Cricetulus griseus: one gene and its partner. The protein of the gene in region 1 purifies or fractionates together with the protein of each later gene. This does not show direct contact. Links are inferred from orthologs where the notes say so. Each region holds a gene or a part of one and is shown on either strand. Other genes may lie near its edges. The genes, in order: Dot1l and nucleophosmin.

Region 1 (16,059 bases):
ATGAATAGGGAAGGTTGCTGAGGACTTCTAAAGGAAGAGTGATGTAACTGTGTGGTCCCCCCAGAGAGGGTGGTGGCACCAGGCCTGTGGGCAGGAGGGTTGCGTTACCTTCCTTCATGTTTGCGAATCGCTCCTTCAGTTGGTGATCCACCTCAGGACCAAAGGCAAAGTTATTCACAAATATAACACTGCAAAACAATGTTTTAGTTCAGTAAAACTGGCTGTGCACATCAAGTCCCAGCCTGGACACAGCCTGCTGCTGGTCCCTGCCAGGTGCAGTCCCCCTTCCCCGCCACCCACCTGAGGTGAGCAGAGTAAGCAGGAAAGCTGGGGCAGGACACAGGTATAAGACACCTGTTTTGAATTTTGGCGCTTCGGAAATAAAGCGGGCTTCCTGGAAGCACTCCCTGTCAACAGCATCCAGGGAAGGACCACTCACAGAACACGGGGCAAGCACAGGGCATGAACACAGAGAAACACTGACAAGCAGGCAGGTGCAATGCAACAGGTAGGCACCACCCTCCCCCTCGACAGAAAACACAGGGGTGAAGCCCCCAAACACCTAGATTCCTCCCGATAGACCCCATGACGAGGGTAGCACAGGAGCTGCCACATCCCATGTGAGACAGCAGCTGGCTCAGGCCCAGAGAGAGGCCAGCACTCTTGAAGCAGCACCCCACAGTACCCTCCACAGCAGTCACCCACATCTGGGGAGCAACAGTCAGAGACCCCAGCACAGCCAGCAGCACGGCCCACAGCCGGCCGTACCTCGTGTTGGCGATCCGCTCCCTCCACTCCTCTGAGAGGAAGTCACCTCGTTCCAGCTAAGAAAGAAAGGAACACGTTTACTCACGGGCTTACTTGGTTCAAACCCAGCCCCCATAGCTGCTGTGAGACATGGGATGATCTGGATCTTGGGGTGAGGTGACGGTGGACAGCCAGTGGATAGCTCTGCAGAGGGTAAGGCCTGACCCCCAGCACAAAGAAAGCAACACCCTCTCGGGACAGACAAGAGGATGGTATGGGTCCAGGTGAGGAACCACTGTGCATGTGCCTGGCCAGCCAGCCCTCTCTAACCCCAGAGTGTGTCCCAAGAAAAGCAGCATCACATAGGCCATCTGCAGACCCTACAGACATGAGATGTATCTATGTGGCCAGGAAGACGGGACCAGCCATTCTGTCACTCACTTATCATTGTACATTGTACATATGTGTGTACATATGAGATCACCTCTGTGCACCTTGCGTTAGTACATGTTTGCTGCACAAGTGACCCCATGAATGTGGCCCTGCTACCCGGACCTCAGTGTCCGTCAGCACCAATGTCAATCCACCTCCTTCAGGTCAGTGTGTGTTACACGGAAACAGCTTTTTGATTCTTCTTCTTCTTTTTTTGTTTTTCCAAGACGGTCTCACTTTGTAGCCTGGCTAGCCTTGAACTCACAGAGATCCACCTGCCTATGGAGTGCTGGGATTAAAGGCGTGCGCCACCACCAGTGGGAAACAGCTGACTACATTTAGAGACCAAGCAATCTAGGTTTTGAGTTCTGCAGACCACCCACCAGCTGCAGCTCAAAGCATTGTCCCAGGAAAAGAACAGTCCATTCTACATGGAGGTCACGGGGTGGGGGGTGGGGGATGGGTAGGGGGTGTTAGTTATTTACAAAGTCCAAAAGTCAGGGACATCTATGAACAATAGACACATAGCATAGTCCATCCATGTGCTAGAAAGCTCCTTGGCAATGAACAGGAGCAGCAAAGACTGATGCACTGGAGGCCACACAGTGTGGGGTACAACAGGCAAATACATTGACCAGAAGTGGATTTGAGTATCAGAGGCTTGTGGGAAGGGGGTGGGGGGCAGCGGCGGTGACCGACAGGATGACAGGGCAGGCCCAGAGCCACCTCCCCACTCTGCTAGGACAAGTTTGTCTCTGTCTTCCAGTGAGCAGAGCAGACCTGGGCTAGGGTGACCATAGCCTTGTAGGCAGAACAGACCCTGAGCCCACCCCAGGCCAAGCCCCGCTTCATAGATCTCTGACTCTACTCTGCTATACACCAGCCAGGCCTGGGGACAGAAGCTTCAGTCAGCCCTCAAATGCAGGGCAACACCTGGGCATAGGAGACCTACTCTCTCCTAAGCTAAGCACTGCAGCAGAGACCACACACCCCTCACCCCTGCTGCTGAGTATGTGCTAAGCAGAGGGGCCACATCCCCTTAATCCCCAGGTACTGGGTCTCTGCATCTAAGGATGAGAATACCCTGAGACTGCTAGGAAGAGCTCTGCAAGTCCCGATGGCCTTATTGGCTCTGCTGTGTGCCTTTGCTGTGGTCTGCAACATGGCTACAAAGACAGAAACTGCTGTGGGCTGGCTCTGCTCCAAGAATCTGATGGGTACCTGCTGTGGCCTGTGCAGGCCCGTCCAGAACAGACCTCACCCTGCAGCTGTGTCATGTGTGGAGCCAGCACTCCTCCCGCTACAGCCAGGCCCCAGTGCTATCCTTGCCAACCAGGTCATGAAGTCTGGGGAGCCAGCTAGCTGCACTATCTGTGTCTGTGGCAAGGAACTCAAAAGTCCTGGCTGTCTGGCCTGGGATGGAAGCCAGGCCTGAAGCAAGGTGTCTGCTACTGTGTAGGAAATCTCCATACACTTCACCCCGCAGGGAGCAAGGCCCTCCCTCCCCAGGCTTCTCTGAACAGTAAGGACTGCTGAGAAACAGTCACACCAGCCAGGCTGCTGGGGAAGAGGCTCAGGTCTACTGAGCCAACTGGAAAGGATGCTCTCCAGCCTGCTGTGCTGCCTGTAGGCTGTCTAGTGCACTCCAGGTTCCCACTTTTTGAGCTGTCACCCATGCTGGGGTGGGCCTTGATGATGCAGTTGTCACTGAGTCACTACTGTTTCTATTAAGTGACTGCACACCCAACCTCCTATAAGGAGCCCCTGTCAAACTCGAGAATCCTCCAAGCTGGGCTTTATGGATTCCCTATCTGGGAAACATCTGTTCACATCCCCCCAAGAAACAATGTCACAGCCACACCTACCAACATGGAAAAAGCAAGAGGGGAGGGAAGGCACATGAAGCTGGCCAGTATCCATGAAGCAAGTGGGGAAGACTGACACAGGCCCCACAGAAGCCTGGGGAGGGCCAGAAAAGGTGACCACGGGTGAGATTCATGGGGTCACAGTCAGCCATAGACTCAGTCACTTCAAGAACCCATCAGCTCAGTCTGAGTGCAAGTGAGCAGAGACAGCTAAGGCCTGTTGACGCAGTCTCAGATACATGTCCCATGAGCACGCCTCAGCAGTACTGGCTGCCCATGGGACACCTTAGCAAGCTGTAGCCAGCATCCCAGGAGTCATAGGCTACTCTATTCTTCCAGGGTCAGGGGTCAAAGCCCACAAACCCCTCTGAGAGGAACTGCTTACAAAGGGTCAGGAGTCCCAGCACCCAGAACCGTCTGAGAAAGAAACTCACTAACAAAGCTGCACAACCCCAGCTGCCAGCTGATGGGAAGACAGGCACATGTGAACACATGACGTCACCAAGCCTGGGAATGTTAGGAGGCACTGCCAGCAGGGAGGAGTGTGGCCCAGAATCTGCCCCAAGCCGGTTTAGGGTCCTTGAAGGATGGGGGGAAGGTCTGCCAGGAGCAGCTATGGGTTCGGAAAAGCCAGACTAGATTCAGCCATTGGAGGGAGCACGTCAGCAGACTTGGCTGCATGTAGGGAAGTGGAGGGTGGCGGGTAGCAGCATCACTGGTACAAAGCAGGCAAAGTCCTCTGGGCTGTTTTTAGGCTCCCCTGGCTTTTCTTCTGCATGCTTTTAAACAGCAGAGGGCAAGGCTCATAGCTTGCAAATCAAAGCTGTAGCACTGCACAGGCCAGGCAGGTGCCTACACAGCCTCCTAGAAAAGGCTGATGGTCACTCAAGGTGCTGTGGGAAGCCAGAGTGGACACAAAGGCCAATCACCGTTTTCTATTCCTACTGCCAGGTTGCTTCCCATGGTCTCCAAGGCCTCAAGAACTGTTCTTGCCTTAGCCCTGTTCCCCACCACAAGCCAAGGGCCACCAGCATGAGCACTGAGGCCCATGAGGGCTTGACAGTGACAACAGCCAACATGGCAAACTGCTACCAGCCACACCACTGACTTCAACCATATAGGCCAGGTCATCTAACAATGATAAGCTAAGGAAGAAGAGGAAATGACCAGGAGGCCACTCAGGATGGGGTAGGGTCTTCCTGAAAGGTGTGTCCCTGACTGAGAATTTTACATGGGTGTGGAACCAACAGGCCCCACCAGTTAAAGATGAAAAGGACAAAGTCTTAAGAATCTGGACCCATCTCCTGGGTCCTAGACACAGGTGTCAAGTGGGCCTCTCTCCTAACAGATTCCCGAGACCCTCATGCATGGCAAATTTTCACCAAGAAAGCACTAGTGAGTTGGGGTAATTGCAGGAAGGATGACAGATGAAGACCAAGGCGGGGCCATGACCGTTCCATTCCACTGCCCGTAGCACAGAGGCACCACAGGATGTCACTGCTGCCTGACCCTCCCAGCCAGTCCACAGGCCAGCCTAAACAAATCTCCACATCAAGAACCCAAGGGTCCTGACCCCTAACGCACAGGCTACACCCAGGTACAGCTCAGCAGGGGTTCACTTTGCCCATTCTTGAGGTCTCAGCTCAGTAGAGCTGAGTATCTGCTACCACAGCCCGCAGTCAGCACATGTTGTCTAGAGATGGTGCCCAGACCAGGGGAGCAAGAAGATCAGGGCTCAGCAGCCAGCTCCAGAGACTGTGCCCACTGCCACAGAGGGCCATATGGTCATTCATCAAGACTGATTGGGGTCAAGAGAGGATGGGAAAAAGGGCTGGACTGGGATGGAGGCCGCGGGCATGGAGCGATGGCACTCACTGTGTATTCTGCATGCTTTTTTCCATACCATTTCATCCACTTCCTGAACTCTCGGTCCATGGTCTGAGGGAAACAAAACACATGACCTGTTATAAACTCAGGGAGGCAGAGGTGGTGAAGGGTCCACAGGCTCTGCAGAATCACATGAGACAAAATACTGGTATCTATCTACAGCAGCCCTGTTGTGAGCACACAGTGGTGGAAGGTACCCAGAAGAGGGGTTCCCAACCCTCCAACAAAGCACCAAGATCACCCTCTGCAGCCACCCTGGGAGGAACAGATGGGGGACATCCAGGGGATATGTGCGTCCTCTCAACTCAGAAGCTCAGCACCATCCTTTTTCCAGGACAGCAAGGCACGCTCATCATGAAGCTCTGCAGAGCCTGCCAGGGACACAGGCACTCTGCTGGAAGGTGCTGGGTGTCATAAACACAGACACCCTTGGCTTGAAGGAGCTGCACCCTACAGAAGCCCCAAGCAGCATACACGTGTGGTCGCTCACCTCCGCGTACTTGGCCGGGATGTCCGCTTTCTCCACTCCGTAGTGATGTTTGCAGTTGGTGGCCGCAGCAACCTGAAGGACAACCTGCCCCACACCTTCAGCCAGAGAGACATAGGTCAGAGTCTCTGTGGCCTCCATAGAAACACAGCCTCAGCCATATAACAATGTCCCTTGGCATCAGCGAGGAGGCCATCATCAAGGCACAGACCTCCCACCAGAGGGTGTCTGCGCCACTCTACTACCCACAATGCAATCTATGAACCTGTAACCTGCCAGTTCTACCTCTGCAGTTAGCAAGGCCTGGCTGTCTCTATGTGGGGATAGATGCACAAGGCTTAGCAGTCCCCACAAAGGCAATTCTTGGCCTAAGTCACCCCTTGGTCCTGCTGTGGCACAGACAGATATAGCCAGTCAGGGCAGCAAGCATCCTGACCTAACAGGTATGCTCGGGGATGGGAAACAAACAAGAAATGCAGAGGCTATAACTGCCAGCGACAGGCACGTGCAGGCCCTGTGCAGGGAAGCTAGGCCAGTCAATACCACTTCATGCCATGGAGGGTCGAGGATCTGAAGGTGACCCTCCACTTGGCAGGCCAGTTCCATGTTTCAGATGGCAAGCACATACCACCTGACTTTCTAAGCTCGACAGTGTTTTCCAGTAACAAGCAGCTCAGAACTACAGGGCAGAGAAGCCAGAAGACACACAGTGCCTCAGGAGACACAGGGCCAGGCAAGGAGGCATAACCTGTACAGTTTGGTAGAGAATGTGAGCCCCAAAGCTACAGGGCACTGAGAGGGATCCAGGAGGCTTCACCTTCAGCTTCTAAAAGAGCTGGAGGGTGTAGCTGGGCATTTTCCAGCCTCTACCTCACACCCCATGAGGTACAGGAGACAAGACCTGTGCTGGACAGTTTTAAGTCAACTTGACACAAGCTAGAGTCATCTGAAAGGAGAGAGTCTCTATTGAGAAAATGCTTCCGGGCTGGAGAAATGGCTCAGCAGTTAAGAACACTAACTGCTCTCCCAGAGGTCCTGAGTTCAATTCCCAGCAACCGTATGGTGGCTCACAACCTACTGTAATAAGATATGGAACCCTCTTCTGGCCTGAAGGGATATATACATACAGAACACTATACAAAATAAACACATTTTTAAAAAGAAGTGCTTTTTTTAGGAAAAAAAAACTAAAAAAAAAAAAAAAAGAAAAGAAAAAAAACCTTCTATAAGATTAGATTGCAGGCTGCGGGCTGGAGATATGGCTCAGGGGTTAAGAGCACTGACTGTTCTTCCAGAGGTTCTGAGTTCAATTCCCAGCAACCACATGGTGGCTCACAACCATCTATAATGTGATCTGGTGCCTTCTTCTGGCATGTGCTGTATACATGATAAATAAATAAATAAATCTTAAAAAAAAAAAAAAGATTAGATTGCAGGCAAGCCTGTGGGACATTGGGCTTTTCTTATTCTTTTCTCTTTTTTGGGGGAAAGGGTGGAGGGTTCAAGACAAGGTTTTTCTGTATAGCCCCAACTGTCCTGGAACTTGGTCTGTAGAACAGGCTGGTCTCAAACTCAGAGGTCTTCCTCCCTCTTCCTCCCAAGCACTGTGATTAGACGTGTGCGACCACGCCTGGCACACTTTCATAATTAGTTATTAATGGGTCGGGAGGGCACAGCCCATTGCAGATGGTGTCATCCCTGGACTGCAGATCCTGGATTCTATAAGAAAGCAGGTGAGCACGCCGGATGTTGGTGGCGCACGCCTTTAATCCCAGCATTCGGGAGGCAGAGGCAGGGGGGATCTCTGTGAGTTCAAGACTAGCCTGGTCTACAAGAGCTAGTTCCAGGACAGCCTCCAAAGCCATAGAGAAACCCTGTCTTGAAAAAGCCAAAAAAAAAAAAAAAAAAGAAAAAGAAAAGAAAGAAAGAAAGAAAGCAGGTGAGCAAGCTATGAGGAGCAAGCCAGTAAGCAGCACCCTCCACGGCCTCTGCATCAACTCCTGCCTCCAGGATCCTGCCCTGCTTGAGTTCCTGTCCTGACTCCCTTCAATGATGAACTGTGATGTGGAAGTATAAGCTGAATAAAACCTTTCCTTCCCAAGATGCTTTAGGTCACAGTGTTTCATTGAAGCAACTGAAACCCTAACTAAGACTTGCCCCAAGAAAAGTGGATACAATCAGAACCATAGCCAGCCACAGAGGCAGCCCAGAAGCCCTGCTGTGTATCACTTGTGAGGCTGCACAGAGTGTGACCAGAGGCCTCAGGAACACTGGTCACACAAGCCAAGACCCAGGGGCCCCTAAGAGGGTGCAGGGTTGTACAGAGCCAGCAGGGCTGAGGGCCCTAGGTGAGAGCCCTGAGCAGGAGCACTGATGGCCAGGAGCCTCAGCTCAGCCGCTACCCTCCCTGAGCACTCATGTGCAGCCATGGGTACACTGAGAGAGCCAAGGACAGCTCGAAGGCTGTGCTACAAGACACTCACCACTGCCCAGGTCTACAAACAGGTCATCCTCGGTCATCTTGATCTCGTCAATCATCTGGGCAACCAGGTCAAAGGAGGTCTCCCCGTACACCTCAGGGGAGAAGGGCTCATAGTTGTTGAGCTTCTCGGGGTCAGTTACAGAGTGGTTGTACACCTGCTGCAGGATGTGCCGCAGGAGTCCATTAGATGGCCGAGTGTTTAGCTTCATGGGCTGTGTGGTGCCCTTCCACTAGGAACAAGAGTGGACATGACCCATTACACTCTTCGCAGCCAGCAGCATCTGGCTGACACCCACAACGTGGGAGGCTGAAGCAGGGGAACACTGCAGTCCAAGGCCAGCATAGACCACATAGGAAGTAAGATCCTATATCAAAAATGCAAAAGGTTGCCAGGTGGTAGTAGCTCACACATTTAATCCCAGCACTAGAGAGGCAGAGGCAGGCAGATCTCTCTGAGTTCAAGGCCAGCCTGGTCTATAGAGCTAGTCCCAGGACAACTGGGGCTACACAGTCTCAAAACAAATAAACACAAAAGGTGGGGGCTGGAGTGTGGCTCACTGGATACATCCCGAAAACCATATACAGAAAAGCACAGCAGCGTGAGTGTTCCTACAAATGCACAGAGCCAGTTCTGGCATGCCAGGCTTCTGTCTGACCCTTCCACACAAACTCATGTACTCCATTTAGGTTACTCATATGAAGGTCAACTCTGACTAGACTTCATAAGCCTCATGGCCTAGGCCCAACCCTGGGGTCCCAGAAGCCCCTCCTGACTCCAGGCTTCCTGGCAGGTATGCATCATTCCAGGACATACCTTGGACTCTCTAGCCTTGGGACAGGGTCTTTAATTCAAGTTCACAAGAAGAAAGCAGTGAAGAGCTAGCTGCAGACTCCTGACTGTCAGGCTGGCCCTGCAAGTGGTATGCCCTGGCACTCATCTACTGATCTGAGCCACCAGACTGAAGGAATAATTCCCTCAGGAGAGAAGGGCTCTACCCCTTGGTTTCATGGCCATGGACACTCTGTTAGCCATAGCAATAGGATAAGATGTGACAGGACAGGACAGCCCAGCTGAAGGGGCCAGTCACCAAGCCTCTTTTGCTGCCCCACAGGAGCCCTAATGCAGCTAATTCAGCTGGTGTCCCCATGGTATAGTGGCAATGGCAGGACCAGTGCCCAGTGGGCCATCACTGAAGAGCTGCATGAGTGTCTTAGTTCAAGGAGCCACAAAGTGACCCTGTGCTAGCCCAGTCTCTCCACACAGCCCCATCTTCCACAGGAGAATTCCCTGACACCACAGAACCCCACAGTGGCCCAACACCTGCTAAAATGCCAGAGACCCCTGTGCCTTCTAGAAAGAGCACTCCCTGGGTGCACAGTTGCTGAGCTCTGCTGCCTGCATCCAGATTGTCAGCTAAGGTGGGCAGGTGGAGTACACATTTATGCAGCTCTGCTGTGAGAACACCCCTGCAGCAGGTGGAACACAGCTGTATAAGACCCTACTGTGAGGATACACCCCCCAGGAGGTGGGGCACATTGTTATGAGGCTCTATTGGGGGGAGAACACCCCTCTCCCCAAACAGGTAGAACTAACTAGACTATGTCAGAGAGAGGCCCGAGGCTGGGGGCCAGCTGCAGGGCAGAAGGAGGCTGGCTCCCAGCTCGGGAGAATGCTGACTACTTGCCCCTGTGCTGCAGCATGCAGGCAGATAGGCAGAGATGGAAGGGTCTGCAGAGCAGACTGACCTGAAGAAGCTACTTGAGGAAGCCACTTGGGGCCAGCTGGGGCTCTACCTGCTGCCACCTGACTCCCATGCCTCACTGTGCCAGCTGCCCTCTCTACCACTTTCACAGCCACCAAGAGGTCCTAGTGCTGGGCCACCCTGGGAGGCCCAGGAGCAGGCACCATGTAAACCCACTGGGGAGTGGAGAGCCTGGAAAGTGGGGAGCTACCTACCAGCTGGTGGATACTGTCGATGGCTCGGTTGTACTTGTCACACAGCCTCTGCATGCTTTCAAAACTGAGAAAAAAAACAAAAGGGAGCATTAGTGGGCTGCAGCATACCCAGCTTTTACAGACAGGTAGGGCTGGGCAAAGCCTCCAGGGAGGCATGGGATCCCAGAAGCACCAGAGGCTTCATGCTGAGACAGTCCTTGGCCACAGGACCAAGTGCTAGGGCAGTCTGACTGGGTCTATATCCATGTGTCAACTCCATGGTCAGACCGTGTCACTAGATGAGAAACTAAAAGAGCAAGTCACTATGAAGACTGGGTTAGCCAGGCGATGGTGGCACACACCTTTAATCCCAGCACTCGGGAGGCAGAAGCAGGTGGATCTCTGTGAGTTCGAGACCAGCCTGGTCTACAAGAGCTAGTTCCAGGACAGCCTCCAAAGCCACAGAGAAACCCTGTCTAGAACCCCACCCCCCAAAAAAGACTGAGCTAGAACTGGGGAGATGGCTCAGCAGCTAAAGTGCCTGTTGTCGACTCTGAGGTCCTGAGTTCAAATCCTCAGAATCCACGTAAAACTGGAAAGGGGCAGGCATCTGAGGACCTGTGCTTCTAAGACAAAGGGGACAGGTGTGGCATGTGCAACAGGGACTGTCTCAAACAAGGTGGAAGGTGACAGCTACCCAGGTTTCTCTGTCCTCCAGGAGGTGAGTATGCTGCTCAAATATACACACAGAGACTAAAGGGGTGATGGAGTAGAGGCCCTTACACAGAAACCCACATCCCACCCAGGCGCGGCAGCAACCAGAGGGTTCTGTCCCCGCAGGGCCTCTTGAGGTCTGCCCTCCTTCTAAACAGCATTGTTTCAGAACAGGGAAACTTCCCTGGGTCCAGCCAAACAAGCTACAAGAGTGTGTGAGAAAGCAGGCTGGGGTGTGCTGGCCACACCTCTAACCGGAGGCAGATCATCTGGTCACCTGACAAGTTCAAGGCAGCCAAGGCTGCACTGTGAGACCCTGTCTCCAAGAAAGAAATGGAAGGAGGGAAGGTGGAAGGGAGGGAGGGAAGGAGGGAGGGAGGGAGGAGCAAAACAAAGAAGGAAGGAAGGAACAAATGAAAAGACAGCAGAATTAGGACTGGAGAGGCAACTCAACACTGACTGCTCTCACAGGGATCCAGGTTCAGGTCCCAGCACCCACATGGTGGCTCACAACCATCTGTAACTCCAGTTCCAGGGGACCCAACACCTTCTTCTGACTTCTGTGGGTACTGTTCACTTATGATAGATACACAGACATACAAGCAGGCAAATGTTCAAACTCACAGTAAAAAATACATAATATCTTTTTCTTTTCTTTTTGGTTTTTTGAGACAGGGTTTCTCTGTGGAACTCGATTTGTCCAACCAGGTTCGCCTTGAACTCACTGAGATCCACCGGCCTCAGCCTCCCTAGTGCACTATCACCACCCAGCCATATTAAATCTTTTAAAAAGGAAGCAATCAGACAGACAGAGTGCCAAGGAGTGTGTGGGCACACCCAGCTTCACCAAGGCTGACTAATATCAGGAGTCCTTTCTAATAATGAGGTCAGAGGTCAAACGAGGCTTTGCAGGCAGACTGGAGAGGCTGAGCAGGAGATGGAGTCTAGGCTGGCCTCTCTCAAAGGAGACAAACCCACTCTAGGAAGCATTCTGGGGATGCCTTCTCTTCTCCACTCACTCCGTCCTGGAGGAGAGGCCTCACCACACCTGCCAGACAGATTCTGGCAGGACTGACTGCTGTTCTGTTCTCTCACCAGCCCTGCTCATTTCCCAACTCAAGTTTGTTCAGTGTGGAGTTCCCAGGGATGGCCTCACTCCACAGCAGACACTCCTACAAGTGTACACAGACGGTAACAGGGTGTGGGCAGTCCAGAGGGACAGCCTTGCCCAGAGCCCACTTACTCCCTTCCTCCTCACCTTTTGGTATCATAGTCGATCAGGACGTAGTTCTCCATGGCCAGCTTGAGATCCGGGATTTCCTCACAGACCCACCTAAAATAGAACACAGAGCTCCTGCTGGCCTAGGACCCCTTCTCCGAGCGCGCGCGTACGTGTGTGTGTGTGTGTGTGTGTGTGTGTGTGTGAAAGACAAGCACCTGAGAAATTACATGGATTTTTATGAGGCCAAGGTCAAACAGTGTTGGTACTTGGAAAAGAAACAAATTCACATGTTATGGTAAAAAGTAAAATATTAGCCAGGCTTGGTGGCACATACCAGCTGGCCATCCCAGCAATGGTGGGAGGCCCTGAGGCACAAATACTCCAAATTCTAGGCCAGACTGGGGTACATAATGGGACCTTTCTCAGGAGAAAAAAAAATGGGAAGGGGAGCTGGCAAGATGGCTCTGCAGGTAAAAGCAATGGTGGGCGTCATAACCCAAGAACCCAAGTTTAATCCTGGGACCTACACAAGGTGGAAGGAGAGAATCAACTCCACAAAGTTGCCCTCTGACTCCTACTATGTGCTGCGGCATGTGTGCATACACAGATACACCAACTACAAACACAATAATAATAAAAACGTTGGGGGAGCCTGACAGTGGTAGCACACACATTTAATCCCAGCACTCGGGAGGCAGAGGCAGGCAGATCTCTGTGTTTGAGGCCAATCTAGTCTACAGATTCCAGGACAGCCTCCAAAGCTACAGAGAAATCCTGTCTCAAAAAACAAAGATTTAAAAAAAAAAAAAAAAAAGTCAGGGGAGAGGCTGGGTTTGACAGGAGGATCAAGGGTCCAAGGCCATCCAAGACTACATAGTTATTATGTTCAAGACTAGCCTAGGATACACCAGATAGTTATTTGTTTGTTTGTTTATCTATTTATTTACTTGAGACATGGTTTCTCTGTGTAGCCCTAGCTGTCCTGGCACTCGCTCTGTAGATCAGGTTGGCCTCAAACTCACTGAGATCCACCTGCCTCTGTCTCCAGAGTTCTAGTATTAAAGATCTGTGTGCTAACATGCCTAGTGCTAAGATAAAAATTTTTAAGAATAAAAAGGGGGGTGTCCTACACTGAAAGAAAAATCCCTATTCCCTACCAATGACATCTCCCGTGGGAGATATGGGGAGGAAGAATTTGGGAAGCACAGAAGAGGGCGTTGTTAGGGAGTAGGGCTTTTTCCTTGCTATTGTGGAACACTTCCTCTGGTCAACCATGAAGCACATCAGACCCTGCAGGCTGTCTGTCTGTGGCCACATGATCACTCTATGTGTAAAGGACAGAGTGGACCCCGGCCCTCCACCCTGACAGTCTCCTATGCACCACCACCACCTGCACCAAGCTGCCTGGCCCATGAGCTCGCAGACCCATGCTGCCATGTCTGTCTAGGTAGGCTCTAGGGATCTGATCTTAGCTCAGGTCCTCATTTACCCACAAGGCCAGCTCCCAGGCTGCTGCTCTGCTTTCAGCATCACTATGATTGACATGCACAGTGGCTGCCCCAGCCCAGCTTGCTGGGCTGCAGAAGCCAGGCTTTTGTCCTAACAACTGCAAACAAGTGGTTCTGGAGATGCTACTAGGTCTATCTGCTGGGGTCCCCACCTGCCCAGAGGCCAGCCCTAATCCCAGACTATCTTGTCTCTGCGCACATCCCATCCATTCTCCCTAATGTGATTTTGTTTCACCTGCAGCCCCCACCTCAACCTGCAAAAATGTCTCAGCCTTCCCTGCCAGACTCTTAAACATCTTTTAGTTCTTTTTTGTGTATGGGGCTAGGGTGGGGTGGGGTGGAACTGTGCACATATGCACCTGTGGATGTACAAGCACAACTGAGTGACACGGGTACACAGAACATGCAGGGTCAGAGGACACCAGCAGACAGTCTTCTCCTTCCATCCCTACAAGGCTTCTAGGGATGAAACTTAGGTCCTCAGGCTAGCACAGTAAGTGTGCTGTACCCGCTCAGCCAACTCACTGGCCCTTTGCAGCACTGCCATCCCTACCTCCAAGCACCCAATGGCAATCTAACCCTGAGTCCAGGGTCTCGGCTTTGTGGTCCACAGGGCTTTTCTCACACTAGTCTACGCCCAGGATTTCAAGAGCCTCAGAGGGCAGAAGATCCAGAAGAAGGACAGCAGAGCCCTCCCAGCAGGCAGCCTCCCTGGCATCACGCCTCTGTAGGTATCAGAATAGAGCAACCCCCCGCCCCCCAGCAACATCAGACCTTAGTAGACCTCACAAACTCCTGTCTTTCTCTAATCCACCCAAAGCTGGGGACTAGTGAAGGAAGCTGGGAGACACAGAGACGCTCCAGTTCCATCTCGCAGGAGGCTGCAGCTCAGAAGCTATACATGAGACCTGGCTCATCCCTGCCATTGCAGGGGAACAAACAATTGAGGTTTTCTCTGACAAGCAATGTGTGGCAAGGGCTGAGGCAGGCTGCCCTGAAGCTTGATGTCTCTGCCAGGGCCCCTCCTTCTACTACACTACTCACTACTGAGGAAGCCCCAGTGAAGACAGCAAAGTAGAAGTGCTGTGAACCTCAGGAAGCAGCTTACCACCCTCCCATACCCTCCCCACACACCCCATGCAGCACTCACCGGATAGTCTCAATAATCTCATGAGCAGCATCGTGGTGCTTGTCCTGAAAGAGAAAACCCTGCAGAGTCAGTCCCCAGCAAGCACACAGTGACACCCCCTCTTGTTCTGAGATGCACACTCCCAGGGCCTGGACCCCAGATTCCCCACAGCTGGGGACTGACTCAGAGCTTTGTTCCCCCTGCAAACACAACAGGTGTTGGCAAGTCCTGCAGAGTCCCATCGGGCCAGTGACCCCAACATTACAACCACTGGCCAGCACTGTGTTATGCCTGAAATCAAGCCTTGCCCCAGCATGACCACGCAAGGCCAGATCTCAATCTGCCAACATGAGATGAAGCCCACAGATGCCAATTACACTGACAAAAAGCCACAGAGGGAAGAATGACGAAAGGAAGTAGGTGCAGGGCTCCTACCCTCCCTGGGCCGGCCAGTGGCCATGGGAGCTTTCCACCCTTCCACACACTGCACACTGCACAACCCCACCTGGGATGACAAAGGCCACAGTTGACAGTGTCTCTTGAGAGCAGACAGATATCATGGCAGGCTCCCCAGGGCCCAGGCTCTCTCCCAGCTCTGCCCAAGTCTTGGTCATCACCTCTTGCCACAGAGGAGCTATAGACTCCAGTTGACCCTGTCCAGTGCACAGTCATAGGTCACAGGTGACAGGGAACATTCAACATAGCCCATGGGGGACTTGAGAGATGGCTCAGAGGTTAAGAGCACCAACTGCTCTTCCAGAGGATCTGGGTTCAATTCCCAGCAACCTCATGGTGGCTTCCAACCATCTGTAATGGGATCTGGTGCCTTCTGGCATGCATTGCATATATGATAAATAAATAAATCTTTAAAAAAATCTTAGCAGGTTCAACATAGCCCACGAACACTGGTGTGGGCCAAGTGTCCCCTCAACCTAAAGTCTTGAACAGTCTCCCACTGTGGCTGTGTGGTAATGGCCCCACTTAGACAGTGGGCTGGGGGGAGGGCGCATTACGTCTGGAAGCATAACCTATAGGGCTCAGGAAGTTTGTGAAACTCCCATGATCCACAAGAGCTGAGAGAACAGACTAAAGCAGGCAGCTGGCCAAGTCTTGCAGGGAACCCCAGAAGTCACCATGTCAGGGTGCTCTTTCCGGAGCCAAGCTGCCTTTGAGTCACTCACACTCAGTAAATAACCCCAGTGAACTCAGAGGTCACCTAAGCTCCACTCTGTGGGATCGATTCTGAGGTCTGTGGTTGGAGCCCTGTCTGGGGTGAAGTGACAATTGCCCATGTCTCCCTGGAGAAGCCACACAGTGGGGAAAAAGTGTTACCCAAGTGCCTCACCTCTCCCTTCTCACTGTGTAACACACACGGATGTTCATGTGCTACTTCTGCCAAGAACACCCAGTCTCTGCTCTCTCCTCAGGATCAGTCTTGTCCCAATGTCACCCAGCCACTCCTGAGTACTGGGGCACAGGATATGTGGCTTTCACTAGGAAGAACAGTAAGCATCTCCCGTAGCGGTGCTGAGGCAGGGCCACTCTCTGGGCACTCTGCGGTTGCTCGACCCAGGCATTTCTCATAGCTCTCAGGCAAGCAGCCACCAGAAAGGTCTTAGACATGGGGGGGGGGGGTCAAGAAGTGGCTCA
Region 2 (16,529 bases), on another chromosome or scaffold:
AAAAAATACCCGGGGATAAAAGAAAAAAAGTTTAAAAGAGAGAGAGGGAATTTTTTGTTTGTGTTTTTTGGCTAAGCAAAGATATGTCACATTAAAGCATGGTCCATATAGGAAAAAAAAGGAAGTCAAATAGGACTTCATCCAAATTAAAAGCTTCCAAGACTAGGCATAATGACACAATCTGTAGTCTCAATACTGGGGAGGCAGAGGTAGGAGGCCCCAGGCTAGCCCAAGCCCAGGCCTAGTCTACACAGAGAATTCCAGGTCAGTCAGAGCTACATACCCTGTCTCAGAGAAGACAAAAGAAATCTCAAAATAAAAGCTTCCATCACTCAAAAGTTTTTATTTTGTCATTTTTTTTTTTTTTTAAATAAAGGATCTCTTTACATAGCTCTGGCTGACCAGGCTGGCTGGTCTCAAACATACAGAAAACACTGTCTCTGCCACCTGAGTGCTGGGATTAAAGGTGTGCCATCATGCTTGAATAAAAACAAGGACAACAAAAGAGAATGAAATGGCAAGTTACAGGCTGGGGGACAGAGTACTTACAAAGGAAAGGAATGAAAAAAGACTGTGTCCACAATGGGAAACTTCTCCCCCTTGAGTCAGTGTAAGATGAAAAATGTAACTCAGGACTGTGGGGAGTCAGACAGAGAACACCTAGTCAATATTTTATTTTTAAATGACAAGAGAAGGGCAAAGGACTTGAACAGACTTCAGCAGATATATGGGAGGCTGGGAAGATGGCAGGCTGTGTAAGCATGAGGACCTGTGTTTGAATCCCCAGTGTCTACATAAAAATTCTCCCATGCACCTGTTACCCTAGCACTGTGGGGGCAGCTCCAGGTTAGTGAGAGACTCTGTCAAGAGAATAAGGAAGAGGATTAAGGAGTAGGACACTTGGGCTGGAGAGAGGGCTCAGAGGTTAAGAGCACTGGCTGTTCTTCCAGCGGTCCTGAATTTAATCCCCAGCAACCACATGGTGGCTCACAACCATCCCTTATGAGATCTGATACCCTCTTCTGGTGTGCAGATATACATGGAAGCAGAATGTTGTATACATAATAAATAAATAAAATCTTTTAAAAAAGGGAGGACATTGAAAGTCTTCTCTCTCTCTCTCTCTCTCTCTCTCTCTCTCTCTCTCTCTCTCTCTCAATTTAAAGACAATCTTATTTTACATACCAATCCCCGGTCCCTCTCCCTCCAGTCCTGCCAAGCCCCTCACCAATCCCCCCATCCCACTCCCCAGGGAGGGTCAGGCCTCCCACGGGGGCTCATCAAAGTCTGTGACATCATTGGGGCAGGCCCTCCCCAATGTATCTAGTATCCCTCCATAGGGAATGGACTCTCAAAGTCCGTGCACTAGGAATAAACACTGGTTCCACACGCCAGAGGCTCCAAAGACTGCCCTGGTCTCCCAACTGATACCCACCTTCAGGGGGCCTGGTTCATTCCTATGCTGGTTACCCAGCTGTCAGTCTGGGGTCCGTGCACTCCACTCCCACTTGCTCAAGTCAAATGTTTCTGTGGGTTTCCCCAGCATGGCCTTGACCCCTCTGAAAGTCCTTCTTTGGTCATATCTGCACACGCGCGCGCGCACACACACACACACACACACACTTTTTAGAAGAATATAATACACATACAGGAAAAAGCACTGGAAAAGATGCTCACCAGAATCAGGGACCAGGGAAATGGGAATTAAAAACCTAAGATGCACACAAGCCCTCTGGCCTTTCTAGGATGAGACTGTTGGCACGGATGTGCAGGCACTGTTCTCAGATGCTGCTGGGGCTGGGGCAAAGGAGACAACTTTTGAAAATAGTTTGGCAGTTTCTTGAATTTTTTTTTCTTTTCTTTTTTGAAACAGGGTTTCTCTGTGTAGCCCTAGCTATCCTGGAACTCAATAGACCAGGCTGGCCTTGAACTCATAGAGATCCACGTGCCTCTGTCTCCTGAGTGCTGAGATTAAAGTGCCACCACTGCCTGGTCCTTGAAACATTAAGTGTAGATTTTCCCAAATGACTTAGCCTTTCTGTTCCTACGCGCTTATCTAAGAGAAACTGTGTGCCTACATGACCACTGTCTACTGATATGCTCAGAAGGTTTGGGGAGAAAACATTTCTCTTTTCACTTTATTTTTAATTGAGTTCCAGGCTGGCCTCGAACTCACAGAGATCCACTTGCCTCTGCCTCCCGAGTGCTAGGATTAAAGGTGTGTGCCTCGACCGCCCGGTGAATCTGGGCATTTCTTTTCATATTTCTGTAGTCATGTGCTATACAGTTATACAGTTGTCCCTTGGTGCCCACAAGAGATCAACTAGTTCCAGAACTATCCTCCTGCCAATACTCAAATCTGCAGGTGGAAAGATGTATATTAAATAGCATGCCATATGTATATGAAAACTGTTGAAAAAGAGAGTTGGTCATAGGATTCAATTTTTATGCTTTAAAATGTGCTCAAAACTAATAATAAAAACCTGGAATCATAAAAAAGATAGTACATATTCTGTCCTACTCATTGTACCTCAGTATGTTGTATCATACAGAGACATTCAACGTGCAGGCAGGTGGCAGGAGGGCAAGGAGAGCTCAAGTAAAACATGGCTTTCCTTTTGCAAAAAGTAAGAGGTTGTACTTCATGAACATATACTTGCAGGTTTCTGCCCTTTTACTATGAAAGTCCATTTATATCTGTTTGCTTTTCAGGTCTCTGGGCTCAGAGTCCAAAGCAGGACCTCAGGAAGCATTAAAAACCAATTTAAAACAAAACAAAAAAACTAGGGCTGGAGAGGTGGCTCAGTGGTTAAGAGCACTGCGGCTCTTCCAAAGGTCCTGAGTTCAATTCCCAGCAACCACATGGTGGCTCACAACCACCTGTAATGAGATCTGGTGCCTTCAGGCCTGCAGGCATACACGCAGACAGAACCTGTATACATAATAAATAAATCTTAAAAAAAATATACCTAGGCACTAGTCTTTAATCTCACCTTTAACCCCAGTACTTAGCAAGAGGCAGAAGCAGGCAGATCTCTGTGAGTTTGAGGCCAGCCTGCTCTACAAAGCCAGTTCCAGGACAGGCTCCAAAGCTACACAGAGAAACCTTGTCTTGAAAAAACCAAACCAAATCAATCAATCAAACAAACAAACAAACAAACAAACAAACAAACAAAAAAACCAAAACGCCTTCTCTTTCCCCAACACTTCCCACAGCTTCATATGATGTTGTTATCTAATCCCATTTTCTTAGTCACTGTGAATAACAACTCAACAAACATAGGCACACAGGTATCTGTATTGTATGCTGATTCAAACATATACCCGAAAGGGATGCAACCAAATCACTGTAAATTCAATTTTGAGGAACCTTCAGATTTCTTTAGTGTTTCTACTAATTCATGTTCCCACAAAATATATGTACATGTTCATTTTGCCAACATCTAAACCTGTAGTAAGTTTTCTTTTCTACAGTAGATATTCTAACTGGGGTTAAGAGGCCCCCATTGTGATTAGATTTGTATACCCTCAATGAATAATGATATTGAGCATTTTCATATATTTATGATTAATATTTTTCTTTTGAGAAATATCTATTTCTCATTTTGACTAACTTATCATTATTAAGGTCTTTAGTTATATTTTAGAGATTTGTTGTTTGTCTGAGGAATAGCTGGCAAGCATTTTCTTTCATTCTGTGATGTGTTTCTCCGCTCTGGTAATTGTGTGGCCTTTGCTGTGCAGAAAATATTTATTTTGCTGTCAGTTCTGTACAAGTCCATTTTTGAGATTATTATCATATTAAGCTGTGTTAGGGTATTCATAAGGATATGTGTACAAAGATACTAAGGTACAATTTGACTATATTCTTTTTTGGGGGGGCAGGTTTTGAGGCAGGGTTTCTCTGTGACTTTGGAGGCTGTCTTGGAACTAGCTCTTGTAGACCAGGCTGGTCTTGAACTCACAGAGGTCTGCCTGCCTCTGCCTCCTGAGTGCTGGGATTATTTTTATTTTACTATTATTATTTTTGTTTTTTGAGACATTATATTATATATGTTTCAATTTGCATAGGCCTATATAATTGCAATGAAAAAGACAATAAACATTCTTTTATGGCTACCTTAAAAACACAGGTTTTGCTTATTTTTTTGAGACAAGGTTTCTCTGTGTAGCCCTGGCTGTCCTGGAACTCTGTAGGCCAGGTGGCCCAAAACTCAAGAGATCTACTTGCCTCTGCCTCCCAAGTGCTGGGATTAAAAGCATGCACCACCATTTTAAGGCTGGCTTAAAAATACATTTTTAACAAATGTAACACAAAACATAAAAGACCCAGAGACTGATATTGGGGTTCAAACTTCAAGCTGAAAAACAGAAAAGCAAAGTAGTGGGCCACTACCTCAGGCTGAATGGGCTGATCCTGCTGCCTCTCCTCAGCATGGCTTGAGAATCCTCAATATGGATGGAGAATGAATGCTCCTATTTTCAGTGTGACTGGAGAATGAATGTTTAATACTGAGACCTTGATCCTGTGTTTTATATACCTCACTAATGTTGGGATTAAAGGCGTGTGATCCCAGGTGCTGAGATCATCTTTGTGTGAGCTGTTTATCTTGTGTAGATCTGGGTGGCCTTGGACTCACAGAGATCTGTCTACCTCTTAATCCTAAAATTAAAGGTGTGTACCACCACCTCCTAGTTTCTGGCTGCTGGGAATAAAGGTGTGTGCCTGGCTTCTGTGGCTCATGGCTAACTTTGCTTTCTGAATCCTCAGGCATGCGTTAATAAATCATAAATATTACTACAAATAAACACTTAAAAAAACAAAACAAATCCATGATTCTGATACAGTGTAGGGGTCTTGATTAGGTTTATTTTCTCTGACAGTTAAAGAATTAAAGGCAGGAAAAATCTGAAGTACAACATGTAGCAGCAGAGAACTCTGCAGACAGGATCAGGAAGGTGTTTATTGGTGGTGAGGAAGCCTATGTATGCAGAGACACACAGAGAAAAGACCCTCTGTGAAGCTGGAAAATCCAGCCCCCTGTCCAGGGCTGGGATTTTAAGTCTCTGAAGAGTTTTCCTCCCCTAATTTATGGTTTGTCAGTTTGAAGAAAGTTAGGGCATTTGATTGTTCCAGAACTGTTGTGTGATGTCCTGAGCAGGCCTTGAACTTGTTGAGCCTGTCTGTCAGGAGGAGGCCTGCTGGTGGGAGACAATAGCCTACAAGGCCTTTTGTCTCAAGGTAGGTGGTTAAGGAAAAAGCTGGCCATCTTGGAGATGGCTTTATTATCTCGCCTTAGCCCCTCTCCCTATCGGTCTGCCCAACAGGGAGTCTGTGTAACTCCTAATCCTTCAATCCCATGAGTTTATATTTAGACAAGGTGCCTGAAATGTTGCAACAAGTGTGTTTTCATTAGTGATAGCTCCCAAATAGTTTAGTGTCTGCATTAGATGTGTTTCTTTTGTTTGTTTTTGGAGACAGGGTTTCTCTGTGTAGCTCTGGTTGTCCTAGAACCCGCTCTGTAGACCAGTCTGGCCTTGAACATTTGAGATCTCCCTGCTTCTGCCTCCTGAGTACTGGGATTAAAGGCTTTTCTCTCTCCCCAACCCCCTGCATGTGCTGTGTTTAAATGATCCAGAATCTAGGAAACAATGAAGTAGTTTTTTGACCCGCCCTGGCTCTAAGAACATTCTCCCTCCTAGACTAGAAGCCTTCGAATTTTGAATGGCCAGACTGCTCACTTGTGGTTTTCCCTTTTCCCGTTTATCTCAGTTGCTTACATAGACAGTACTTCCAAGTTTCAGGATTTACTCTAGTAGTTGTAAAGTGGAAATTCACTGGGCCCCATTCACATCTTGAGGCTGATTTTTTCCCCCCCAAATTTAGGATTTGGTTAATAATCTGCTCATACGTTTTATACTCAACTGGTCTTCCCAATTGGACCATCTCTGGAGTAAAGAGTCTGGGGGCATGAATACCATTACTCACATTCCTCCCAGTAACCTTTTCATTTGCTAGCTATGTTGAGATAAAAAGATTAGGGCTGCTCTCAGTACGCACCCAATGTTGAGGGATGTTTGTCGGGACGCAGTTTAAAATGCTATTTCCCAGCCAAAGATTCTAATCAAGGCTCCTGTATTTCTTAGAAGTCATATGCCTTCATTTGGAATGATAAGGATGACCTGCGTGTTCTCAATTCTGCACACACCTCTAAACTTTTAGAAAGGTGCTCTTTGGCCCTCGAATGACGTAAAGCTGAGAACTTAAGACTTTGGAGATGCTGCCTCAGAAAAGAGGTATAAAAAGTATGGCTGATGCCGGGCGGTGGTGACGAATGCCTTTAATCGCAACACTCGGGAGGCAGAGACAGGCGGATCCCTGGGAGTTTGAACCCAGCCTGTGAGTTCCAGGACAACCAGGGCTGTTACAGAGAAACCCTGTGTGGAAAAACCACAAAAAAAAAAAAAAAAAAAAAAAAAAAGGCTGACAAAGTGGCAAGCAGAGAATCATTCTACTAATGATCCGTCTGTCCTGCCTTTGGCTCCTGAAGCTCTATGGGAAAAGGATAAAATAAGACCAAGCCTTCGAGGAGGTCAAATCCTGAGATTATGCCTGTTGCAGGTCTACCGAGAACCGGAGGGCGAAGAACAGCGAAGGGAGTCGCCCGCTGGTTCCCGGCCGGCAGTCGCCATCTTTTAGGGTGGGCTGCGCAGCCTCTCCGCGCAGGGCCCGCGTGGAGAAGCCGAAACGTGGTAGCTTCGGAGGGCTGGAGCGCGTTACAAAGGGAAAGTGCGCCTGCGCTCGGGCAACCGCGCTGGAGGGGCGGGGCCAGAGGGAGGACGCGCGTGCGTAGTGCGAGCCCGCCAAGCACCTGGAAGAGGTGGGGAGGGGAGGTAGAGAGGCGTGGGATAGGACAGCGCTTGCGCAAGAGCGAGACAGTGCGGGAAGTGGGGGATCCGGAGCACGCTCGCGGAGGCGGGACTAGGGCAGATCTCGCGAGATTTGCTGCGGCCATATATACGTGCGGCGAGCCCGCGTCCTTTCCCTGGCGTGATTCCGTCCTGCTTGTCTGTTCTGAGGAGCAGTAGGCAGTTTCCTCCGTCCGATATCTCGCATACCGAAGTGCGCGTCTCCACCTCATGGAAGACTCGATGGACATGGACATGAGCCCTCTTAGGCCACAGAACTACCTTTTCGGTAACTGCCTGGCGGGGAGGGCCTGGGCAGGGCCTGGTGGTTGGGGGGGCGGCGGGAGTCCAGTTGAGGCCTGGCGTGTGCCAAGCGCGGCGTGGGTGGAGGCCTTTGCACGGCTGGGAGGAACCGCCTGGGCCGCGGGAGCCGAAGAAAGCCGAGGCCCGGGCGCTGAGCGGGACCGTAGCTTGGGGCGGCAGCGGCCCAGCCTCGAGCCTCTGGCGTTGAGAGGGCGGTCGGCCGAGGGTGCCAACTTGGCTTGGGGCGCGAGCAGGGGCTGTGACGACACTTTCTCTTCATACGTGAAGAAGGCCTCAGGACCTGGCAACAGGCAGCTGAAATTCAGCGCTGGGCCCCAGGCGCGTCCCGGGATAATGGTGCCTCTGGAGCGCGGCCTGCGCCGCCTCGTTGGGACGGTATAAGTGCAGTCCGCTGGGCTTTACAGGGGCTTCGGCCCCTCCTCCCCGTGCATCCGAGAGGTTCCGCCGCTGACAGGGACTCGGCCGGCCAAGCTCCCTGCGGCTGAGGGGGCCGCAACCCCTGGGAACACGTGGTTGCCACGTGGTTGGGGGTAGGGAGGGGGTGTGGGCTCTACATCCGGGCTCTCCTCACTTCTTAACCCTGGTCCTTCGGGTCCTGTGGTTTAATTAGGAGTGCTAGGCGGGAAACGCGTAAAGTGGCGCGTGGCGTCCGTGTCTTTGTTAAGATCTTGTAGCATCCACGGTGATGGTAGTGACTTTTTTTTAGAGACCCTTTAGTGCCTCTGCAAGAGGTGGAGTCAGCCCCACGCTGCCGATGACGATATTGATGGTCGAAGGGTCTTGATGTTAAGAGAGGGCCACGAAATCTTAAGTCGAAACTATCCTTTTCCCTACAACTGGTCTTTTTTTTTTGATTGGGCCGGGGAAGAGAGAGAAGTGCCTCCCGCGTTTAGCAGATTAAGGGATCACTTTGGTAACTCGGCTTCTGGGGACCCCACTGTCACTGCACATTCAGCTTATCGGTTTTACAGTCTATTAGTTTGGTTTTCAGTGACTCGAGTCAATTTTTTCAAAATTCCGAGTGTTTAAAGCACTTTCCCCTACGTGAATGAGTAGTACATGTTTAATGTACTCTAAGCATGAAGGGTTTAAGCTGTCCCTACTGGTCATGTGTAACCACTGTTGATTTGTAGTAATTTCCTTTAGAACGTAGGTAAGTTGGGTTTTTTAAAAATAGTGCTAGATAATGGTATGGTGCCACTATGCAAAAATCCAGTTTTAGGTCATTGGGTTTTCTGTGAAAAAATGGTAACGGTGCCTCATTAATTGGTCGTGAGTTACTATGAAAAAGTAGAACTTTTATTGGCTTTCTTATACAGTAGATTCCACGGAGAGAACATTTTTAAGTTAAAAGAGTAGAAGTTAATGGTCGTTTGGGACTGTGATGTTCATCTTGCTAGATTTATTTTATTTTTTCTTTACAGGTTGTGAACTAAAAGCTGACAAAGATTATCACTTTAAGGTGGATAATGATGAGAATGAACACCAGTTGTCACTAAGAACGGTACTTAAACTTTGAAATTAATTAGCCATTAGATTTCAGCCACTTGGATCTAAGTGAGGGGATTTATGTCAGTTTGTGCTTCCTTAACTGATGGAAAAATAGTATTTTTATAACTTTAAAATAGTTCACATATGTACTGGTAACAAAGAACTGGGTGTCTTTTCCACAGTCACTGTTATAATTAGTTGTCTAGTAAGGCTCTGCAGGATGTGATCTTTTTAAGTCTGTTGGCTATATTTTATTGGTTGTTTGGCTTTCTTAGGAACATACAGTGTTTTGTGTCTATGCATCTCGTAATTATATGAGAGGACTAGTTATCAGTAGTGAGAAGAGGCTAATTAAAAAATTTAAGGGGTGTTTATAAAACAACTGGGTACTGAAGGATCTTTCTTTTTGTTCACAGGTTAGTTTAGGGGCAGGGGCAAAAGATGAATTACACATCGTAGAGGCAGAAGCAATGAACTATGAAGGCAGTCCAATTAAAGTAACGCTGGCAACATTGAAAATGTCCGTACAACCAACAGTAAGTACATTTGTAAACATTGTTTTTAAAGTTGGTCTCTAAGACTGATTTAGGATAAGCAAAGATGTTTCAAATAAGTTATATCTAGTGTGAGATTATCTCTGTGGCTTCTAGATAGGTTTATTGATTATATAACTCTGTTGGTGATGCTTGGTGCAAAACATTCTTAAAACAATGTTTAATGATTGAAATTTGCTCATTTTTAGGTTTCCCTTGGTGGCTTTGAAATTACACCACCTGTGGTGTTACGGTTGAGGTGTGGTTCAGGGCCTGTGCACATTAGTGGACAGCATCTAGTAGGTATGTTTTTGGGTTTTTAAATCTGGTATTTCTATTAGGAACTGGCTTTTTTTAATATTTGTGTTTTGGCCAGGTTAGAGAAGACGTCTGTTGCCACTACTTGGGTCCTTGGGATTGAATACTGAGGTTTAGCCACAAAGATCTTGTAATTAGATTGGCTATCATCCTAGATCTCCAATATGGACTTTGTAAAAGTTCTTAGTTGTCTTATGCTGAAATAGGAATCTGGTAATGTATAAAAAGATAACACCTGAGTATCTTATTTCAGCTGTAGAGGAAGATGCAGAGTCAGAGGATGAAGATGAGGAGGATGTGAAACTCTTAAGTATGTCTGGCAAGCGATCTGCTCCTGGAGGTGGTAGCAAAGTTCCACAGGTAATTTTTTTTTTTAGGAAATGTTTTTGGTTTCAATATGTTAAATACTAAGGAATGACTCTTTCTCACAAATACATTTTTCTTTTAAGAAAAAAGTAAAAATCGATGAAGATGAGGATGATGATGATGAAGATGATGAAGACGATGAAGAGTAAGTATAAGTTTGTATGGTCTTAGAAACTTGACACACTGCACTGTGAAGGGTTTTAGGAAAATTGATTTGCCCCAATAGTTTCTAAAAGTGACAAAAAGGATTGATGGTTGAAAGTGAAGACACTTGTGCCTGTTAGGTTGTGATTCTTTCAGTGGGACATTGATTTTTTTTTTTGAGTTTAAAATAGGTTAAAATAAGATTTCATGTGTTGTGCCTGTAACAGATGTGAAATGTCTTGACATGAGTTATCTTTGAATATCTTGTTAGAAGTTGTGGAATTGGTCATGTTTTATTTATTGAAAGCATTATGTATGAAGTAAGAACTGTTGAGGAAAGCAAATTTGGGAGTGGGTATTAATATATAGATTAACTAGCAAACTGAATAATGCATGAAAAATGATACATCTATGGTTCCTTTTAGGTAATGTTACACATTACCTAAATACCTTGTATGATAATATCCGGTTATGGATATCTGAAAAGATAACTCATTTTATATATAAATTGGAAGTTTCTGGTTAAGAGAAAGCCTCTTGGGTTCTAAAGCCAGTTTTTGTTTTTTGTTTTATTTTTCTTCGTTTGGCTTTTGCCATAGCAGTTTTATTAATTTTGCTTCTATTGATACAATCACATATTTTATATGTAAGACTGAGGAACATTTTGTCACATAACTGCTTCCTAACTTGTCATAATTTCAGCCTTCCCCTCCTTTATATGGGGGTTTTTATTTTTGATCATGGTACAATTGATCAGATGTATGGTGTGCCTCTTTATTGTAAGTTAATATTTTATTTTATTAGTTCAAATTAGGAACAAGCTTCACATGTCAATCCCTTCTCCCTCTCCTCCCCAACATCCCACCTGCCCCTAGCCATCCCCTCTCCACTCCCCAGGCAGGGTAAGGTCCTCAAAAGGGGCTCCCCATAGTCTACCACATCCTGGGCCAGGCCTAGGCCCTTCCCCCTGTGTCCAGGCCAAGAGAGCATCCCTTCACATGGGATGGGCTCTCAATCCCTTTTTTTTTTTAAGACCTTACATATTTAATACAGTGCGTTACCTCTGTACAAATGGAAAAAAAGTTAAACATTTCTAGACCAATATGGCTGCTAATTTTGTACAATGCCAACTCAGCGCAGTAAACTGGGATACTTTTCCAAAGTTGACAGCACAGCTAAAGTTCCCCAAAATTCAAATTATATATGTATATATATTTATATTTATATAAAAAGACCAATAATGGCAGTATGTTAAAAGCCAGCATTAAAAACTACCAAAAGCGCTGGGCGTTGGGGGCGACCCTTTAATCCCAGCACTCAGGAGGCAAAGGCAGGCGGATCTCTGTGAGTTCGAGGCCAGCCTGGTCTCCAGAGCGAGTGCCAGGATAGGCTCCAAAGCTACACAGAGAAACCCTGTCTTGAAACCCCCCCCCAAAAAAAAACTACCAAAGCATTGGATTTACATGTGGCTTTTGACATCATGGTATAATAATGAGATGATTTCCCACACTACTGAAAAGGTCATTAATATGTGAAGTTCGTGCTTTTCAATTTAATGAGACTAGTGTGGAAATCTGTGGCCAATGTTGGTAGAACTTATAGATTGAATGCAGATATAGTTAAAACTTTGAATTTATGTTTTAGAATTTATTATGCAGTGTTCTGCCTGCAGGCCAGAAGGGGGCACCAGATATCAAGAGAAGGCTTTGGGCCATCATGTGGTTGCTTGGAAGGACCTCTGGAAGAGTAGCCAGTGCTCTTAACCGCTGAGCCATCTCTCCAGCCCCAACTTATACATGTGTACTCAAATATATATACTTAAAGATACTTTAAGTGATTTTACCCTGTAATGTGATTCACTCCCTTTTAAAAGACTTACTGTGTCTGAAGACCATTTTGTACTTACACACTTTAAGCAAATGTCATGTGGATCCAGATCATCTCAGATCTATCTAGATTGTGAAAGTGAGAAGCAGCTCCTTTTTTGAGGTAATAACACTCAAGTAGTTGGAGGTGGATTCTGCTAATTGCAATCTGGCAGCTTAATTCTCATGGCACATAATAAATGTTTAGGGAGAGCCAATAAAGTAAGCCTTGCCAAACACTGCATACACTAGAATGAAAAAAGCAGAAGAGCTTTGATTGTCTCAAGGAAAGGAGAAGCATTAAGACAACAGCTATAGATTCAGAACAGATTAAAAATTTTACTGCAGGTTTGTATTCTGTGCATTTCCTCCCAACAGGCCTTGGCTGTCTTGGGTCTCATTCTGTAGACCATGCCACCATGAACTCAAGAGGCCTCTGCCTCCCAAGGGCTGGGATTAAAAGTGTGCACCTCCCTAGCCAAACTCTTATCTAGTATTCCTTAAGCTGTAGTTAGCTACTTGTGAATTTTGTAGATTGGCCTTTTCAAGGAATTAAGTCATAGAATCCTATTCATTTGTGTGTGACTTAACTGATTTTTGACAGTGATTACATTTTTATGGGCTGAGAATTTCTTGTGGATATGCTGTTGCTGTGGTCATTGTCAGCAGTATATGGAAGTTCTTCAAGTTACCTCTTTAAAGGGTAACATGGGCAAAGCGGTATCATGTTCAGTTTATATTCCCTAGAGGACTAAAATCTTCTCATGTTAAGCTTTTTGGTGGTTGTGAGACAGGATTTCTCAGACTATTGAGGAGGCTGTCCTGGATATCCTGGAACTAGGTCTTGTAGACGAACGAACTCAGATCCACCTGCTTCTACCTCCCAAGTGCTGGGATTAAAGGAGTGTGCTACCACTGCCTTGCTTGTACAATTAACATCTTTGCTCTTATTAAGGGGGTAGCTTAATTTTAAGGAAGCCTGGGTTTTTTTTTTTTGATGCAAAACTTAGGAACTAACTCATCAAATCTGTTAATGAAAATTTGCTTCCAAGTTTTGTAGCTTATTCCTGAGACCAAGTGTGAGACTCTTGGGTTTTTACTTGTGAATATAATTATTTTCTACCTTAGGTTCCTTGAACAACTGAATCCTAATTATCAATAACTACAAATTGTATGTTGGAGTATTGCCGATTTAGCATTATTAACTCCTGATTTATTGAGATACTATTTCCAAAAAACTACATTTCATAACCCTTAGTAACAATAGTATTATGAGTAAGACACTATCCCTTTGAGTAGCTGACTTTTGTTTGCTTTTTTCTTTTCATAATTTTTATTTCATGTGTTCTCACATTTTGCTTATATAAATGTGAAGGTGTCAGATTCCCTGAAACTTAACAAGTTGCCATGTGGGTTCTGGGTGTTTGGACCCAGTTCCTCTGGAAGAGAAAGTAAGCCAGTACTTTTACTAGTGAACCATCTCTTCAGCACCTTGATTTTTCTTTTTAAATGGCTGAGTAACATTTGTTAGATACTTAATTAGGCCTTTTTGTTTTTCCAGGCAGGGCTTAAAGAGCCCTGGCCACTCTGGAACTCAACTTAGTCTGGCCTCAACTCAGATTCACCTGCCTCTGCCTTCAAGTGCCTTGATTAAAGGTGTGCACCACTACCATCTAAATACTTTTTGATCCATTCAAATACTGGTGCTGTTTGTTTGACTTGTCTATTAAATATTGTGATAGAACGGCTGAAGGTAGCTTCTTTCAAATTGAGCAAATAATTAAGTTGGTTTATTTCCTTTATAGTGATGATGATGATGATTTTGATGATGAAGAAACTGAAGAAAAAGTTCCAGTGAAGAAAGTGAGTATATAACATGCCATGGGTGTCAAGATAGTTAATAAGAGATAAGAATTTCTTAGTGTTGATAGTGAAAACTGGCTCATTTAATTTCCTATTAAAATTGGTTTTGAACTAAATAGACTAAACTTTGTAGGTAAGAAATTTTATGTTTATTACAATGGTTTAGGACACTTGTCTACTCTGGAGGGGGTATACTCTTAATTGCATTCTCTTAATTGCAGTCTGTACGAGATACCCCAGCCAAAAATGCACAAAAATCAAACCAAAATGGAAAAGACTTAAAACCATCAACACCAAGATCAAAAGTAAGTACCAAGGTAACAAAACAGATAAACAGACCTAGTTAAGAAAAGTGAATTCTGTGTTAACCTAGCCTGGGGCTGGAGAGATGGCTCAGAGGTTAAGAGCACTGGCTGCTCTACCAGAGGTCCTGAGTTCAATTCCCAGCAACCACATGGTGGTTCACAACCATCTGTTATGAGTTCTGGTGCCCTCTTCTGGTGTGCAGATATACATGGAAGAAGTATGTTGTATACATAATAAAATTTAAAAAAAAAAACCTAGCCTGCCTAAACTTTGGTATTTAAAGAACTTAACCCTGGCTACATAATACATTGTAGTGCAGTACTTTCATCTGAAGAGTGTCATGTTCTGGGGTGGGCTCTAGTATGAGTTCTTGCTTCGTTTGGAGACCTATTGAATTCTGAGTTTTGTTTATAATTTCATAATGGGATTTTTTATGGCTTGTGTGCTTACAAAGGCCAATTAATCTTTGTAGAATTCAGGACAACACAGTTGGAAGATGCCTGTCAGGGTTCCCCCATCCCAAGCATTGATGAAGAAGCTGAAAAGTGTTCCAGGGCAGCCAGGGCTATTAAAAAAAGATGTTTATGGGGCTGGAGAGATGGCTCAGTGGTTAAGAGCACTGCTTGTTCTTCCAAAGGTCCTGAGTTCAATTCCCAGCAACCACATGATGGCTCACAACCATCTGTAATGACATCTGGTGCCCTCCTCTGGCCTGCAAGCAATATGCAGGCAGAACACTGTACATGTAATAAATAAATATTTTTTAAAAAAAGATGCTTATCAGGTTTGGCATCAGGTGCGTTTACGTTAACCTTGAGGTATCTTTCCTGACAATCATTGTTTTAAAAGAATGATCATTTTGGTTGTCTGAGAGTCAGCTAGCTGAGACTGGCTTTCTGACTAGCTACAATCCTCCCTCAGCCTTTGAAAGGCTGAGATTAAAGGCTAGGAACAATCTTAAAATCAGAAAAATGTATAAAGTTACATGTAAAGCAGTGTCTCCATACTTTATCTAGAAGAGATTGTAAAAATAATTGGGAAGTCATAATTATAATTATGAACTGTACTCTAATTGCCTTAATTAACTTATTCCAGGGTCAAGAGTCCTTCAAAAAACAGGAAAAAACTCCTAAAACCCCAAAAGGACCTAGTTCTGTAGAAGACATTAAGGCAAAAATGCAAGCAAGTATAGAAAAAGTGAGTAAAATTACCAATAATGGATTGCTCTTTTCCCTACTATGTATGGAGGGTGGGTAAAAAATAGATTATAGAAATAGGTATATTCATAATCTTGTGCATAGATGGATGATTTTGCTACAATAAAGTGCAAGGATGTATTCTGATTTTAAAGCTTAACATAAGTGAATATTGCCTTTTCTGGGGTTATGCTATAGAACCAGCAGAGGGCGTTTGGACTTTAGTAAAATTAAACTGCTAGAAAAGAAGTCTTTGGCTGCATGAGATTATACCTTTAAAGGATCATTTTTTTTAAGCATTTCCCAGCAATTGAATTATTTCTGTGCCCTCTATACCAAAGTATCCCCAGTCCATGACCTGGAATTTATATACGGACCTGGGGTGTGGAAAATGGAATAGTCAATCCAGTGGTTTTTTTTCCCTTGAAGATTCTCTAAATTGTGATTCTAACATTTGGAACAAATGTGGAATTATAGGAAAAATTGTTCTTTTCAAGTTTTTTCCTGTCCTATAGGCCTCAAATGGTTTCAGGTTTTCTTCCTTTGTGAAGCCACCAATGGATTGGAAATTAGCACTGTAGTGCCAGCACATATTTACACTGTAAACTTTTTAGCTTTCCTGGTGTTGTCACTCACTGATTTATTTTTATCCCTTGCATACACTGCTAAAATGGTGCCCCTCCCCCCCATTTTAATGTGGTCCTATCTCCTTGATTTAATTGCAGGCGCATTGAACAGTCCTGGGCACTACTGGTAAATTAAGCCCAAAGATGGGGAAAGAGGAAAAGGAGAAACAAATATAGCCCATACTGAGTACCATCAACAATCCAGACTGAAGTCTTCTATTTTAATCTCAATCCCCTTTCCTGATTGGCCATCCATTCCCCCCCCCCTTGCACGTTGGAAGCAATCTTTTGTTTTCCTAAAGCATTTTTCTTTTCACTCTTGTGATGCAGAGAACTTTACTGCTTTCTACACTTGTGCATATGCCTCATCTCTGACCATGTTTTTAATACCTTTGTATCCTTAGTTGCTCAATAAATTTTTGAATGAACCAAATAAGGATGTATGTGACAATATTTTAAAATTACTATAGTGACTTATTTTCTAGGTGATGGAGGCAATTGAGTCTCATATTTGGAAGCCTTATTCTTGCTAAATGCATAAAACAGGGTGCAAAACTAAAATTTTAAGTGGTATTACATGAGGGATGA

Evidence for each region.
Region 2: the proteins of Dot1l (region 1) and nucleophosmin purify together in Homo sapiens (affinity purification with mass spectrometry; 3 studies listed by BioGRID and IntAct, with this or other methods). This does not show direct contact. The link is inferred for Cricetulus griseus from reciprocal best matches to the Homo sapiens genes DOT1L and NPM1.

The regions. Positions count from the first base shown.
Region 1 is NC_048598.1:101,544,381-101,560,439, reverse strand, and holds part of Dot1l (histone-lysine N-methyltransferase, H3 lysine-79 specific), read right to left. Parts: intron 14,475-16,059; coding exon 14,431-14,474; intron 11,884-14,430; coding exon 11,809-11,883; intron 9,922-11,808; coding exon 9,858-9,921; intron 8,131-9,857; coding exon 7,902-8,130; intron 5,517-7,901; coding exon 5,422-5,516; intron 4,983-5,421; coding exon 4,920-4,982; intron 825-4,919; coding exon 769-824; intron 189-768; coding exon 109-188; intron 1-108. UniProt on the Homo sapiens protein: Histone methyltransferase. Methylates 'Lys-79' of histone H3. Nucleosomes are preferred as substrate compared to free histones. Binds to DNA.
Region 2 is NC_048600.1:48,339,760-48,356,288, reverse strand, and holds the start of nucleophosmin, read left to right. Parts: upstream 1-7,024; 5' UTR 7,025-7,140; coding exon 7,141-7,198; intron 7,199-8,657; coding exon 8,658-8,737; intron 8,738-9,140; coding exon 9,141-9,260; intron 9,261-9,466; coding exon 9,467-9,560; intron 9,561-9,828; coding exon 9,829-9,935; intron 9,936-10,024; coding exon 10,025-10,086; intron 10,087-13,755; coding exon 13,756-13,813; intron 13,814-14,034; coding exon 14,035-14,118; intron 14,119-15,214; coding exon 15,215-15,316; intron 15,317-16,529. UniProt on the Homo sapiens protein: Involved in diverse cellular processes such as ribosome biogenesis, centrosome duplication, protein chaperoning, histone assembly, cell proliferation, and regulation of tumor suppressors p53/TP53 and ARF.